Rhinolophus ferrumequinum: one gene and its partner. The protein of the gene in region 2 purifies or fractionates together with the protein of the main gene of each other region. This does not show direct contact. Links are inferred from orthologs where the notes say so. Each region holds a gene or a part of one and is shown on either strand. Other genes may lie near its edges.

Region 1 (7,869 bases), on a different chromosome or scaffold from region 2:
AATTACCACCTAAAAGCAGAGGACTCCTAATTGACACCTCCACACCAGAGCTCCCCCCTTTGGATCCACATTCCCAGCTGCTGGCGGGTACTTCAAACTCCACCCACCCTATTCTGACCCCTTCCCCATCTCTCTGCAACCTCATTCTCCTATGCTCTCTAACATAAATGAAAGGGGCCAACCCCAAAAATGGGAATCTTTAACTCCACCTTCTCTCTCATCTCCCACATCAGTTATTCATTAACGTCTGTCAATTCTACCTTTTTAAATGCATCCACTTCTATCCCCACTGCGCAATCTTTACCACACTCATCACCATCTCCACAGTCTCCCAACTGGTCCCACTCCCCTCCAATCATTCTCTCTCCACTTCCTTACACTGTAAGCGCCTTCCTTCAGTTCCCACGACACACCAAGTTCTCTCACACCTTTGGGCCTTTGCACCTGCTATTCTATCTCCCTGGAATATCTTCTTTACCCCACCTGCTCCCCAAGTGACTGAGGCACACATACCTTACTTCCTCTAAAAAACACCTTCCCGGATAAAATGACTGGCCCACGAAAGCTGTTAGGTGCACCCGTCACTCTCTTTAGCTCCTCCATCCAAGAACGGATCACACTGCCCTGTAACTGCATATTTGTCTGCCTTCTCCATCTACCTGGCAACTCAGTGAAAACAGATCTTACTCTGCTCACCTTTATATCCCCAGTGCCTGGCACCGGGTAGGCTCACAGGAAGTACGTGCTGAACAAATTAAGACTTGGTGAATAAAGTAACATAAAACATGTACTTGTTCATTTTTTGTTTTCATCATCAAAGTGGCACACTGCCATTCTTGCCCCAAAGCTCCCAGTCCAGGAGAGGAGGGAGGGAGAGCATGTGAACAAGTGCTTACAGAACATGAGTTTCTCCCTTTCATCAGAAAAGCAACCTTGAGGTTGAGCGAAGCCAGCACTTATTTCTTCTAATTTTTCCCTCCCCACAACTCCCATGTTTCATTCAACTTAATTTTTCTCTCTTATATGATGAGGAAATTGAGCCAAAGAGAGCCTCTTTGGCCTTTCTTTACATCATAAACAAGAAATCAATTGGTAGTCTTTTTGTCCTGCCAAGGTCTGACAAACTCCTGTCCAACCTTTGAAACGCACCTCAAACATCACTTCCTTAAGAAAATCCTCCCAGAATACCCAAGGGTTTACTCCAGATGCTGTACTCTCTATGGCAGTTTATACATCTCTCCTTGCTTTTCCTGTTATAGAAAGGTCGAACAATTAAGTTTGCGAACTTGTTGCAACGATGTTGCTAATATTTTTTGATATCAGAGGGATTATGAATTCGTACCAACTGGACGAACAGTTAACCATGTTTTCTATTAGGAAGTGCTGAAAAGGCTGCGTGAAAAAATTCGACAACCTGAACTTTTCACCAACAATTCATGGCTCTTGAATCACAACAATGCACCAGCTCACACGGCACTGTCTGTGAGGGAGTTTTTAGCCAGGAAACAAATAACTGTGTTGGAACACCCTCCCTACTCACCTGATCTGGCCCCCAATGACTTCTTTCTTTACCTGAAGATAAAGGAAATATTGAAAGGAAGATAGTTTGATGACATTCAGGGCATCAAAGCTAATATAACAACAGCTCTGATGGCCATTCCAGAAAAAGAGTTCCAAAATCGCTTTGAAGGGTGGACTAGGCGCTGGCATCGGTGCATAGCTTCCCAAGGGGAGTCCTTCCAGGGTGACCGTAGTGATATTCAGCCATGAGGCATGGAGCACTGTTTCTAGGACAAGTTCTCGAACTTAACTGTCCCATCGCGCATGTTTCTATGACGATCTACTGAAGCGAACTAAACGCATACAGGGAAGGGCCCACATTCCTTCAAGCCTTTTTACCATCCCCGCTCCGCACCCGACACAGCGGGTCTCGGCAGGGGCAGCGCAGACAGCAGGAAGGTCACGATCGTGTGCCTGGACAGAAAGGTTACGAACAGAGGCTCTCGAGTCAGGCTGCCTGCGGGTGAATTCACACCCCAACACTGACTCCATCTCTGCCTCAGTCTCCTCAGCTGTACAAGGACCACAGGAGTGAACCCCTCATAGCACCAGGTGGACATGAAACGCTTCATCACCGTCCAGGGCTTACACGGGTGCCCGGCAGGGGCTCCACCTGTGTTGGCCATTCCTCTCAACCGCCCTGTTTCCCCCACATTCCTGACGAACGGGAGGGGACTCATAATCATGGCTGCGGTGCCCCCCGTAACTACCGACCAGAATTCAGTCTCCAGGAAGAGAGCAGAGACCGACGTACACAAACGCTCACGTACAAGATGCCGACCGTCCTCCACGGCCTCTCCACCCCTAAAATAGCATTGACCCCCACGGCCAGAATGAAAGGAAACAGCCCCTTACTTCCCTCTTCTGCTGTCCCCTCAGCCTCAGCGGCAGCCCGTCTGAACCTCGGCCTGTCCGCCTCCATCCCTCAGGGGTCTCCCCGGACCCCCACAACACGTCCTCCACAGGACTCCCCCAAACGCGCATCCAGCTCCCTTCTCATCTGTCCCGACGATGAGAGCGTGAAGCGCGTTTCGCTCGCTCACTCCCGTCACCGCCTGAGGAGGGGTCCCCGGCCCATTTCACAGACAAAGACACCGAAGCCCCCAGAGGAAACGTGCGCTGGGCTCCAACGCGGCTTTATTGCCGGAACCGGGTTTGCCCCCGACGGAGAGCGGGAAGCAAAGGCAGAGCGAGGCAGGCCGACCAGCTGGCGACTCCCACACTCCCGCCTTTCCCCGCGCCCCACGCCCCTCGGGCCTGTCCGGAAAAACCCGCGGAGCCTGAACTAGACCCCGACGCATCACCCCACCAGGTTCCAGACCTCGGCACCCCGCCCGGGCCGGGCTTGCTCACCTGAGGTAACCGCCGCCATCTCGCGTCGCCTCAGTTGCGACGGGCTCCGGGCGTCCATTCCACTCCCTCCTTTGACCCGCCTCTCCCATTCGAATTTCCCGGTGCCCCGCCCACTCTCCCAGGCTCCACCAATCACAGCCAAGAGCCGCGGAAGTCCCGCCTGCGGCGCGCACCTATCAGCCGTCTAGGGCTCGCCTCCGAGTCCTGCACGAAAAAGGGTTCCCCGGCGGAGGACGCATGCGCGCACGTTGGCCATCCCGTCGTGACGTCAGGGCCCGCGCTCCGGCGCAAACTTAGGAGCCCGAGGCCTTGGCGACAGTGGCCGTAGGGGGAGCTGCTGAGCGCCGCCCAATTTCGAGGGGTAGTTTTGCGTTAAGTGCAGAATTTTCGCCTCATTTTTTTCCCCCTCCACTAACTACGAATTTTCGTTCGAATCAAGCAGAGGGTGATCGAAGGCACTTAATCGATTTATCCAAAAACTTCCCTGAACTGAATACACTTTTCCCTATTTTCGTGGCAGAAAAGGTGATTATAAGAATAAGGGACGTCTGGGGGCGATCTTTACTTTCTACCGTTTATCGCCTCGGACGTCGTTTTGCTTGTGCTTTAACGTCTGGTGACTTCTGTAGGCGTGGTGCGCCCTGCGGCATTGTGAACAGTCACGTTGTACTAACCTCTTGCTGAGCCCAAAGCCACTAAGTGAGATGCAGAAGCCAGGTGACATATGTGCCCCCTTATGTCGCGTGTCTGAGCCAAGGAGACAAGCTCGGATGTCCGGCATTTTGTAATTCGGCATTCAACATGTAGAGAGTGAGCGAAAAAGGCATGTTTGGTCTGGGTCCCAATTGGCTGTTAAGTATGAGGTGTGATCAAAATACATGGTAATGGTTAAATTTAAAAAAGTTATTACAGTAAAAGACACCTTGCCATTAACCCCCCTCAAAATACTCCCCCTTACTTCGAACACATTTATCCCATCGTTTGGCCACTTTCTGAAGCTGTTCTGGAAGTACTCCTTCAAGGGCATCTTTAGTTGTGCTGTCATGTGGCTGCCTCGATGTCCTGAATCAATTCAAAACATTTTCCTTTCATGGTCATTTTGACTTTGAGAAAGAGCCAGAAGTCACACGGTGCCAGAGCTGGTGAATAAGGTGGATGAGGACACACTGTAATGTTTTTATTTGACAGAAATTGCCATACCAGAAGCAATGTGTGACATGAAGCCTTACTGTTGTGATCACAAAATACAGTGAATGCTGCTGCCGAGTGCCATCCAACAGAAAGGCAGGGATCTTCAATATGGGAAGCTGCACATCGGAACCTTAGTAACAGTGTGTGACAAGTTTCAACTTGTTTGGTGCAGTCGGTTGGAAGTGAGCTACAGTTGAGAGAAGGTAGCTGTGTTTTAAAGCGTGCCATAAATCATCCTCCATCATGACAATGTTCTGTGTCACACGTTGCTCCTGGTATGGCAATTTCTGTTCAATAAAAACATTACGGTGTGTCCTCTTTCACCGGATCTGGCACCGTGTGACTTCTGGCTCTTCCCTGAAGTCAAAATGATTCAGGATATCCAGGCAGCCACGACAATACAACTAAAGACACTCACGAAAGAGGACTTCCAGAACTGCTTCAGAAAGTGGCAAGAATGATGGGATAAGTGTGTGCAAAGCGAGGGGGAGTTTTCTGAGGGGGATTAATGGCAACGTATCTCCTACTGTAATAAATTTTTAAAATAAATTTTATTGGGGAATATTGGGGCACAGTGTGTTTCTCCAGGGCCCATCAGCTCCAAGTAGTTGTCCTTCAATCTAGTTGTGGAGGGCACAACTCACTGGCCCATGTGGGAATCAAACCGGTAACCGTGTTGTTCAGAGCTGGTGCTCTAACCAACTGAATCATCCGGTGCTCCTGTAATGAATTTTTTTTATATGAACATTCACCGTATTGTTTGATCACACCCTGTAGTTCCCTATACTTTCTGGAAACTTAACCAGGGGTGATCATCTCATCTTTGAGCTCCTCGTAGGGCCCTGGTTTAAACGTTATGTCCAACCTATTATAAAACAAAACAAAAAGTAAATTATAGTTGTTCTCCATTTTTTTGGCTTTGGAATCCCATTCTTAAAAATTGAAGCCCCAAAGTTATTTTGCTTGTATGGGTTTTGTCTATCCATATTTACTGTATTTGAAATGAAAATAAATTTAAAATATTAATACACTGAAAAACTACGGTAACAAATTCATAGAAGCAGTAGATTAGCAATTGCCAGAAGATGGTGAGGGGCTGGTGAATTTGGATTTTGCTAATAGACATGGAGTTCCTTTTGGGGGTGATGGAAATGTTTTGTATGTAATTAGACAGTAGTGATAGTTGCATAACATAATGAATATACTAAAAAACACTGAAGTGTACATTTAAAAATGGTAAATTTTATGTTATGTGAATTTATCTCCATTTAAAAATCTGCCCCAAAATTGCAGTAACAAACACATCACATGTAAGTAATATTTTTATTTTAAAAAGTTTCCAAAGGATAAAAAACCCTCAAGAACAAACAAACAAAAAAAATAGAAGAGTGTCATTGTTTCACATTTTTACAAATCTAACAATGTCTGGCTTAAGAGAAAATAGCTGGATTCTCATACCTGCTTCTGCATTTGGTCTGTTGTGATACTACACATCCTATAGCCTCTTGAAAACTCCACCATACACTCAAAGAAAAAAAAAAGGATGCAAGTGAAAAAAATCAAATGACATCTTCTTTTATTATGAAAATAGTTTTGACCTTGCAGACCCCCCGAAAATGTCTCAGGGACGTCCAGAATTTCCTGGATCACACTTTGAGAACCGCCGAATTACAGGACTGGCAGTTTGGTTTTCCCCTGCACTTCAGCAAGGGCTATTCAGGTTTTCAGAGTTGTTGCCAGTCCCCAGGTATTTGATGAGATACCTGCCAGAAATCCTGGAAAGAGCACAGGTCAGGGAGTCAGGACTTCTAAGGATGAATAAGTAGCTTAGGTGCAGGGCTTTGATGCCAGGTAACCCAGGGTAGAGAGCCTCCCTGTGCCTCCATTTCCTCAGCTGTGAAAAAGAGAATAATGGTTGAATCCCCTTCCTAGACTTGGTTTAAGGATCTTCATCTGCCTCGTGGAAATTAGGGTTGTTAACACCTGACATCCAACGAAAATAAAATAATTCAGTACCCAATGTCTCGTTTGCTTGTAGTGTGCCAGCCACTGTCCTAGGAGGTGGTAGAGTACCATGGTGAACAAGAAGACAGACATGATCCCCGTTTTCCTGGAGTTTATTTTTTGTGGGGAGAGGGGTGTGGGAGTGGGTGACGGTGACAAGATAGTAAACAGAATTTTAAGGGAAGGGGGGAATCAAGGTCTGCATCTGCCTGGTGGAAATTAGGGTTGTTAAACACCTGGTGTTCAGAGAAAGAAATATATATATTTTTTTAAACTTCCAAACTAAACCCTGAAGAAACGAAGGAGAGCAGAGGAAAGTAGAATATAGAGTTTACGCCCTGAAAATTGCCAAGAGACTGGTGAGTGAGGCAGGTGATTCTGTCCTTCAAGCCTGGAGAGAATAAATGAGGGTCATCTAGGGTGAAAGGCACAGTGGCAGTGCTGAAGACGAGAGCGAGGCTGGAAAAGAGAGGACCCCACCTGGAGGGCCAGGTGGAGACGGAGACCTCAGATAATGGAGCACCACAGGTGGCCAGGAGGCCAGAGCCAGCCTGCCCATATGGACACCCGTTTTCCTTCACATGCAATTATGTAAGAGCCACGGGATGGGGGTGGAGGTGGGGACGGGGGCACTACCCAAAGGGGCCCAGCAGTGTCCCTTTCCTGAGGGCAGTGAGGACTGAAGTAAGCTTTGGTGGCTACTGTGCATGCAGGTTGGATGTGCTCACTAGAGTGATGAGACTTGCTCTACAGAGGGTGTCAAGAAGACAAAAAAGAATAGTATAGTAACGTTTAAAAGAAAACAAAATACTGTAATCCCTAGCTCAAGGATTCTCAGAATGTGACCTGCAGGATCCCGGGCCTCTGCAAAGTTAAAACTCTTTTGTAATAGCATTAAGATGTCATTTGCCTTTTCATTCTTACTCTCGTAAGTGTCCAGTGTGTTCCACAGTCTATATAATACGTAATATCACAACAGATTGAACATAGAATGGGCTAAACTGGATGATGACGCTAGAAGGTCCCCAAACCCCAGAAACTCACTCTTGCCCTACGATGTCTGTCAGATTCAAGTATAAAAAGGATTGAAGTGCTGACACATGTTACAACCTGGATGAACCTTGAAAACATGTTCAGTGGAAGAAACCAGACACAAAAGGCCACGTTGCATGATTCGATCTGTATGAAATGTCTGGCATAGGCGAATCCATAGAGACAGAAAGTAGATGTGTGGTTACCAGGGGCTGGGAGAGAGAATGGCTAGTGCCTGCTTGATGGGCACGGGGTTCCTTTTGGAGGTGATGAAAGTATTCTGGAATTAGAGAGCGGTGATGGTTGTACAACCTGTGAATATACTCAAAACCACTGAAATGGCACACAGGGCGAATTTTATGTTATGTGACGTATATCAATAAAAAAATAATTAGTGACATAGTATTCCATTCCACGGAATTGAATGTTTAAAAGAAAGGAATGGTTATAAAAACAGGCTAGGCGTGAGTTTGTTTCTATAATGTTACTATTTCTTTATAACCTTTGTACATATGTACAACATGGACATAACTGTTATCTTTGTCTAATTGGGAAGAAATGTCTCAGGACTGAGACCTAGAGTCCTGAAAATTCTTTCCAAAGCAGCTTTATATTCCCCAGTCACTTGAATGCCTCCCATGAAGTCTCACCATCCCCTTATGGACGATCTTCCCCACCTTGGAATGCCCTTTTTTGAGGATGGTGTTGGCAACGTCGAAGCTGTGAGGA
Region 2 (7,141 bases):
AACCCAGCGATTCAAATTTCTCATTTGTAGATACGACGACAATTCAGGGAATGACTTGCCTGGGCTTGCTATGGTAGGAAGTCAGCCGTAGGGTCTGAGTGTTCAGATTCTGTAGGTCCCTCCACTGTACCGTGCTGGGAAAGCTTCACGGAGAAGGTGACCTCATGGCCTGAGTATTTAAAGAGGGACCGATTTTGACAGGAAGATAGGGCCAGGGCTTTCTAGGTAAATCAAACGGGAAAGCTATGAAGGCTGGAAAGGTTAGGACATATTTGGGAAAGGTGATAGACCACGTAAGATAAAGCACAAGCTATGTGTGGGGGAATCAGAAATAAGAAGAGTGTATTGCACTGTGGCTGGGTCACACATAATCTTAACTATCAGACCGAGGATTTAGAAATGATTTGACAGACAATGGTGGAGGGGAAGAGATATATTGAATATGAGGAGAAGAGATAAAATCAGGAAGATCTGGAGAGGTGAATCAGATTTTTGTGGAGAGGATAGAGGAAGCAAGGGAATCGGTTAGGAGGCATTAACTAGACTTGTGAGGGGCATGGGAAGAAAGCTGGATTCTGGGAGCGTTGAATGGCGAATTAATATGGAGACTAGGTGAGGGAGTTGAGAGAGAGGGCGGCAGTAAAGATGGCTCCAAGCTTGAGTGGAGTCCCTGGAAGAATGGTTAGGCTATTAACTGAGTTGGTGAATTTGCAGAAGGAGCTGACTGGGGAGGAAAATCATGAGCTCCTTTTGGCATCTGTTGATTTTGTTGCCTTCTCTGCATACTGCCACTTGCCTGTCCGCTGGGAAGGTGGGTTTAGTGAGTCAGAGGAAGAAGAGTTTGACCACTCAGAGGGCCCTTCCTTTCTGTTTCTGCTCTGCTCAGCACTCCCCTGTCCCTTAATAGAAGTGCCTAATGAATACAATGCTTAGCATGTGATGGACACTCAAAATATGTTTGGGAGAGGAGGTCCAAGATGGTGGATTAGAAAAATTATATATATATATATATATATATATATATATATATATATATATATATATATATGTATATATATGGAAAACTCCATTTAGAACAGTTGTCAGAAGTTTTAGGGCAAAGGTGAAGACTAGAGTGAGGGAAAAGGGATGGTTGCTAACAATGAGAAGCCCAAACCTGAGTCACTGGAGGTGTCATTTCTCAGACATTAAGGCCTCCAAAGCCTGGTGGGAGCTACAAGTGGTAGAAATTTGGTGGAGTTAAGAATATGGGGAGACTCTGAGGCCAAAGTAGCAGATGTGTGTATGTTGAAGTCACTAGGGAAAATGGCAAAGAGTAAAAGTTATTGCATTAGACCCAGGCAAGAGGGGCCCCTGATCTTGACCCTACCCTTTAGAGGACTTCACTCTGGCTCTCTCCTGATGTACCCCACCCCGTGGGGAGTTCATGGGGCCACCAGGTCACATTCACTAGAACCTGTGCCTCAAGGCCCAGCTCTGGGTACCGGGGCCCTGGGATTCCTGCTCAAATGGTCAAGCCTGCTTTCAGGATCTTCCCAGACCGCTTTCTCGAGTCCATCTTCCTGGGGGCTCATGAGGCTACCGCTTTGCACACTCCAGGCCTGAGCAATGGCCAAGGGGCATCTCTTGAGGCAGAGAGGGGGATGGAAATAGAGCTTTGGTAGCGAGAGGCAGGACATGAACCTTGTGGGTAAGGGTATACATATATGTTCTTAAGGTCTATTCCAGTGTGGGATGGAGCCAGGAGACGGAAGGGGAACAAAAAAGTGGGCTGGGAGGTGGCTTCCAGGCCTCTTTGTACCACCACACCCTGAAGCAGAAGTCCAAGAAGTCAGGAAATTTAAATTCAAACCCAGACATCCAGGTTGTAAAGAACATTCATTTGTCAATGTCAAAAAAAAAATTAGACTTTGTAAGCTTGACCTGTAACTTCTAAATACTTAAATATGTGATACAAGTATATAGACATCCATTTGCAGTCTTATCCTCCTATGTTAGGAGTCACAGGAATCATCATGTTACAAAGATCTCCTTGCTATGAGTCTTGAGCTTCCTTCCTGTTTCTTGACACTCACCACACTTTTGGGGTGAGAACTCGTTTTATTGCCTGTCTACTCTGATAGACACAAAGCTATGCAGAGGCAGGAACCAGGCTGTCTTGTTTACAAATATATCCTGGTGTGAGGGCAATGACTGACATCTGGTAAGTGCTCACTAAATATGTCTAAAACTCTAAAATGATGAAACACTTACACACTGGATAACAGCAAATAGGATGAAGAGAAGTGGTAGAGGGGGTAAAATAACCTGAAAAAAGAATGCCTTGATAAGTTATAATAGAGATTGAACAACAGTCTGGAAGTTTTTCTCTCCCGTTTGGGAAGAGCTTCAAACACACAACTTTAATTGCCTTAAGAACTATAGTTGAAGTAATGCTAATCCATTTATTCTAAGCTTTAGGTGTGTGTGTGTGTATTCTCCCCTTTAAACGAGCGGTTGGACTGGGATCAGATATTTCATAGTGAGGGCCTGGAGTTCTCAAGTGACTTATTCAGTGAAATGCAGAAAAGAAATGTGAATCGACATTTAAAAATGAAAAAAAATAACTCAGCTTTGGTTTTCCTTGAAAAATTGGAGCTTGGCAAGACTGGCCCACAGTCCGACATGGCAACAGTGGTCTGAAGCCTTTAAATGGGACTGTGTCTATCAACAGGCCACGCTCCACCACTCATAAAACAAATGTCCCAAAGTTCAGCCACCAAATGACTCTGAATTCATGACCCCTGGACCTCTGGCTCTTTAAGGCCCCTTTGCTTTGAAAGAATGTCTTCTTTAACCTCTTTATGGTTATGTTTCTACCAATCTTTGAATAACCCCAGTGTCAATTGAATTATATTATAACCATCGAAATACCTGCTTCTCTCTGCTAGAGATTCTGAAACTGAATTCTTTCACATATAACCAAAGAAGCTCACCTGCTCCAGAAAGCAACTCTCTATTAGTAGTATGGATCCAAATTTCCCTTGACCGGCCCTCCTATGACACTAAACAGAGAAGCCAGATGGGAGTCTGCCGACCAGGGCTTGACTGCTTCCTGAAAGCTAAGACTACGTGTGGTGGCAGAACAAGAGGTGTTGGGGGCACTGAAATGCAGGAGCTGCCAGAGTGAAAGTTGGAGAACCGGGCTTGAAGGATGATGAAGAAACCGATAGGCGCTAGAACACTAATTTGTTCAAAGTATTTATTGAGTATGCACGAGCCAAGCACTGTTTCGACGCGAGGGATTCAGCAATAAACCAGCCAATGCCCCTGCTTCTCACTGAACTCAATTCCCGTGCGGATGCCAGGTAACACACACATACAAAACATATATACATACATGTGTACATGTCAGGTGGAAATAAAAGCTATTTATAAAACCAAAGCAGGGCAAAAGACCAGCCATTGAGGGTGGATGCTATTTCAGGAGACTCCAGAGAAGCCCCGCCCCCTCTCTCCCAATAGGGCACAAGATGCCCAATCTCCGGGGAAGCTCCTCCCACTTCCCCCGCCCAAAGGCGGTCTTTGGGGCGGAGCTTTGCGGCCCGGGCTCTCCGGGCGCGCCGCGCGGAAAGCCGCGCGCTTAGGATTCCCGGCCTTCAGGTTCTGTCAAGGCCAGGAGCATTAGACCGCCGGAGCCTGGCATGTTGGGAACTGTAGTTTGCGTCCACAGCTCGGGGTTTGGGGCGGGGCAGTAAAAGCCGCCAAGTCTGGCTCCATTGCTGGCACAAGACTTGTAGCACTGAGGGGTTGTGGGGAGGCCTTGCTGTGGGGGGCGGGGGGTCATCCCGAAAACCCCTGGCACTTACAGCAGGGCGAGCGTCCAGGCCCGGGGCGACCCTGGGCACGTGACCCCAGCCAACCCGGGAGCGCGCGGTTCTTCAGCGCGGTTCCCGCCCCGCCCGGCAGTCGGCCAGCGCCTCCCCCGGCGCTGCTGCCACCTCGCGCTCGGAGGCGTCACGGAACGTGCTCTCCTCTCCCCCTCCCCCTCCCTTCCCCCTCCCGCGCTCCCCCTCCTCCCCCTCCCGCACCGAGACTCGCCGCCGCCGCCGCAGCCGCAGGAGTAGCCGCCGCTGGAGCCGCGCGCAACCATGGCCGAGAACCCCGGCTTGGAGAACCACCGCATCAAGAGCTTTAAGAACAAGGGGCCGCGATGTGGAAGTGAGTGTGCTTCCGCGGTCTGGGCCCGCCCGGCTCGCCCGTCTGGCCGCGCCGGCCCCGCGGTGGCGGGAAGGGGCGGGGGGCCGGCGCCGGGCTGGCTCTCGCCGGCTCGCGGTGGGTCGGAGTTGGCCGCCGCCTCCCATCAGCGCGGCCCAGGGCTGGGCGGAGCGGGCGACGGATACGCGGGCCGGCTGTAGCCACCCTCCGAAGCTGCCGGCGCGGGGGACCGGGAAATGCCGGGGTTTTCGGCCCCGTCACGCGGGCGCGGCCTGCTGTCTGTGAGGAAGGGATGTGGAGCTGAGGCGGGGTCCGCGGCTAGGGCCTCGCGGGCCGGGGATGCTGCCGCCCAGGTCTGTCGATCGCGCCGCCGAAGGGGCGGCCGCAGCTAGCACCGGTTGCCGGTGAAACCTCCGCCGGCGCAGCCTCCTTGGTGCCTCCCGCGCTGCCGCACATGGAGCCTGTCTCTGCCGGTCTCCGCGCCTACTTTCTGCCAGCCGGGCCCAGGCGGGCGGTGGCGGCCCGCAGAGGGGGGTGGGGACCAGCCGGGTGACTGACTTGTTTGAGGGTGGTGGATGGGGGAGGGTAGGATGCGCCAGGACCGTTTTCTTATATTCCAGTGCTGTCCTTTGGACCAGTCGTGCTGAGCTGTTCCAGCCCACACTCCTGTTACTGCGGGCATTTGGAAGCAAGCTGAAGGTGGACAATAGTTTACCATCTATTGTGTTGAGGCTTTGGAAGCGACGTTGTTCCGACCTCCGCTCACCGGACCTGTTTTCTTAGCATTTCTTACTTGTAGTGGGGGTGTGCACTGGATAATTTCCTTGACATGTTTTACTGAAATAAATTGGATACATAGGTTCATACGGCCGTGTAAATATCTCTTGCTCCAAGCTGGTAGAATTTCCATGTGGTTGCAAAACTGTAAACATTAATGTGGTCACTCAGTTCGTTGCTACACAGCATGTTGCCATTGTCTCATTAAGGTGACATTAGCAGGTACTATTTGCAAACTCGGCTTATTGAGGCAGCGCTAGAGGTCTCTCTGCAGCCACTAAAAGCAACGTAGTATAATGCACAAACTTCACTGGGACTCTGACCTCTGAATTTGTTAAGGGAAAAGTGGTTTTAAGTCCACAAGCTCCTTTTCGAATACCAGGTGACATGGTTTGCAGTTTTGTAGTTCTTGTTAAAGGGACAGTGTGAATAAGAAGTGTACATTTTATCCTCTTAAAGAGAAGTGTTGGGGAAAATTTACCATCCAGCGTTCTGTTTTGTAGAAAAACAAAAAAAAACTCAGGCCATTTTTCCAGAGCTACACAATTAATACTAAATGGAAAAACCTAAGGAAATACTGTGGAATTCCCATTTGAATGAGACAACTAGAGGTCATCTGTCTTCTGGTCATGGTTAAGTGTTTGTGTGTGTGTGTGTGAAAAATACTTCTAAGCAAAAGTGAAATTTAGGAATAGCAACAAGAAATTTTGGAACTGCCTCCAATTATTAGTCCACGTGATGATAGCAGTTAATTTTGAACTTTTGCTATCAGTAATTGTTCTTGAAGCTTTCCCCTATTATAAAGCAGAACTTATGTAGTCTGACAAATACCCATATTGTTTGTACAAAAGAACTAATAACATTCTTCCCTCTCTTGGATATTAGTACAGGTTTTTGTCTTATTATTTGCCTCTATTGTGTTCTGGGATCTCAGTGATACCTAGTAAGGACTCCTGCACGTAATAGGTGTATAATAAATATTTGCTGATGACCAGAATGTAACCAATGACTTCTACAGGCATGATTGCTAAACCTTTTAGCCTGAAAATGTTGGTCACAACAACATTACATTTCCCAGCATATATTGGAGTAACTAAGGCATGAAATAGCAGACATTCAAATGGTAGTTCTATGTGATAGACACTACTGAGAGCTTCATGATACCTCATTTAATCCTAATAACAATTTTATGAGCTAGGTATAGCATTATACCCACTTTATAGGAGGAAAGTACTTTAGATGGGCAAACTCAAGCATGCCTGTGTAGCCTGCACAAGGTCCCAGAGTGGGTATGAACATTCATTCACTAATTGTCTATTGGGTATCTAATACAGTCAGGTCTTGGGGATACAAAAGGGAATAAATTTCAGTCTGTACCTCAAGGAGTTTATAGTTCAGTAAAAGTGATAGAAAAGTAAACTGATAATTACAATACAGTACATCACTAAGTATATTCTGAGAATGCGTAAGAAGATCCTAACTTGGTGTTGAGCAGTCAAGGGAGAAGTTCTGGTTGATTCCTAGTGGATGAATGGGAGTGAGTAGATCCTGAAGGATGAAAGACAGTTGGCCAGAGAAAGGGAGAGGGCGAGGAAGAGGCATTCCAGACTTGAGGGAGCAGTAATTGAGACCAGGAGAACGCAGTAGGACTGCTGATAGAGAAGGGAGTGCTAGAGATGTGACTGAAGGGTGAACTGCGGTTGAAGCTGATCAAGTTCCTTTACTGTGGGTTTAGGTATAGCTAAGACTAGATACCACACCTAATTTAGTCTTACCCATTAGAAACTAGACTACATTAGAAACTTACACTACAATGTAGCTCTGTGACTAAGTAGTTCTGATTATTAGGCTGTTTCCAAACAGTGAGGTATACTTTGCTGAGGTACCGTTTTTACCTTTCACATATAGGATAGACAAAGGTTGCTATGTGCTGCTTACATATAATAAATAACATTTTCTAAAAAAAAAAATATATAGAGTTAAGTCGGAGAATTGTGAGTGGGGAGAGGGTTGAGAAAGTAATTTCATATTCAGTCGGGAATGGCTTCATAGAAGAGAGGTTGGTGAATTTTACAGGAAATATGTACCAAACTTGAACGGCACATGAGAGATTAGTGAATAAAGATCCAGGTGAAAAAGAAGAGAGATTAGGTTAAGGAGTGAAGAG

Evidence for each region. Proteins that work in one complex are often made in the same cells at the same time.
Region 1: the proteins of KPNA3 (region 2) and KIF22 purify together in Homo sapiens (affinity purification with mass spectrometry; 3 studies listed by BioGRID and IntAct, counting the BioPlex papers as one, with this or other methods). This does not show direct contact. The link is inferred for Rhinolophus ferrumequinum from reciprocal best matches to the Homo sapiens genes KPNA3 and KIF22.

What each region holds. Positions count from the first base shown.
Region 1 is NW_022680357.1:825,943-833,811, reverse strand, and holds the start of KIF22 (kinesin-like protein KIF22), read right to left. Parts: upstream 3,027-7,869; 5' UTR 2,972-3,026; coding exon 2,914-2,971; intron 1-2,913. UniProt on the Homo sapiens protein: Kinesin family member that is involved in spindle formation and the movements of chromosomes during mitosis and meiosis. Binds to microtubules and to DNA. Plays a role in congression of laterally attached chromosomes in NDC80-depleted cells.
Region 2 is NC_046287.1:87,819,806-87,826,946, forward strand, and holds the start of KPNA3 (importin subunit alpha-4), read left to right. Parts: upstream 1-4,115; 5' UTR 4,116-4,130; coding exon 4,131-4,186; exon of another isoform or gene 4,187-4,200; intron 4,201-7,141. UniProt on the Homo sapiens protein: Functions in nuclear protein import as an adapter protein for nuclear receptor KPNB1. Binds specifically and directly to substrates containing either a simple or bipartite NLS motif.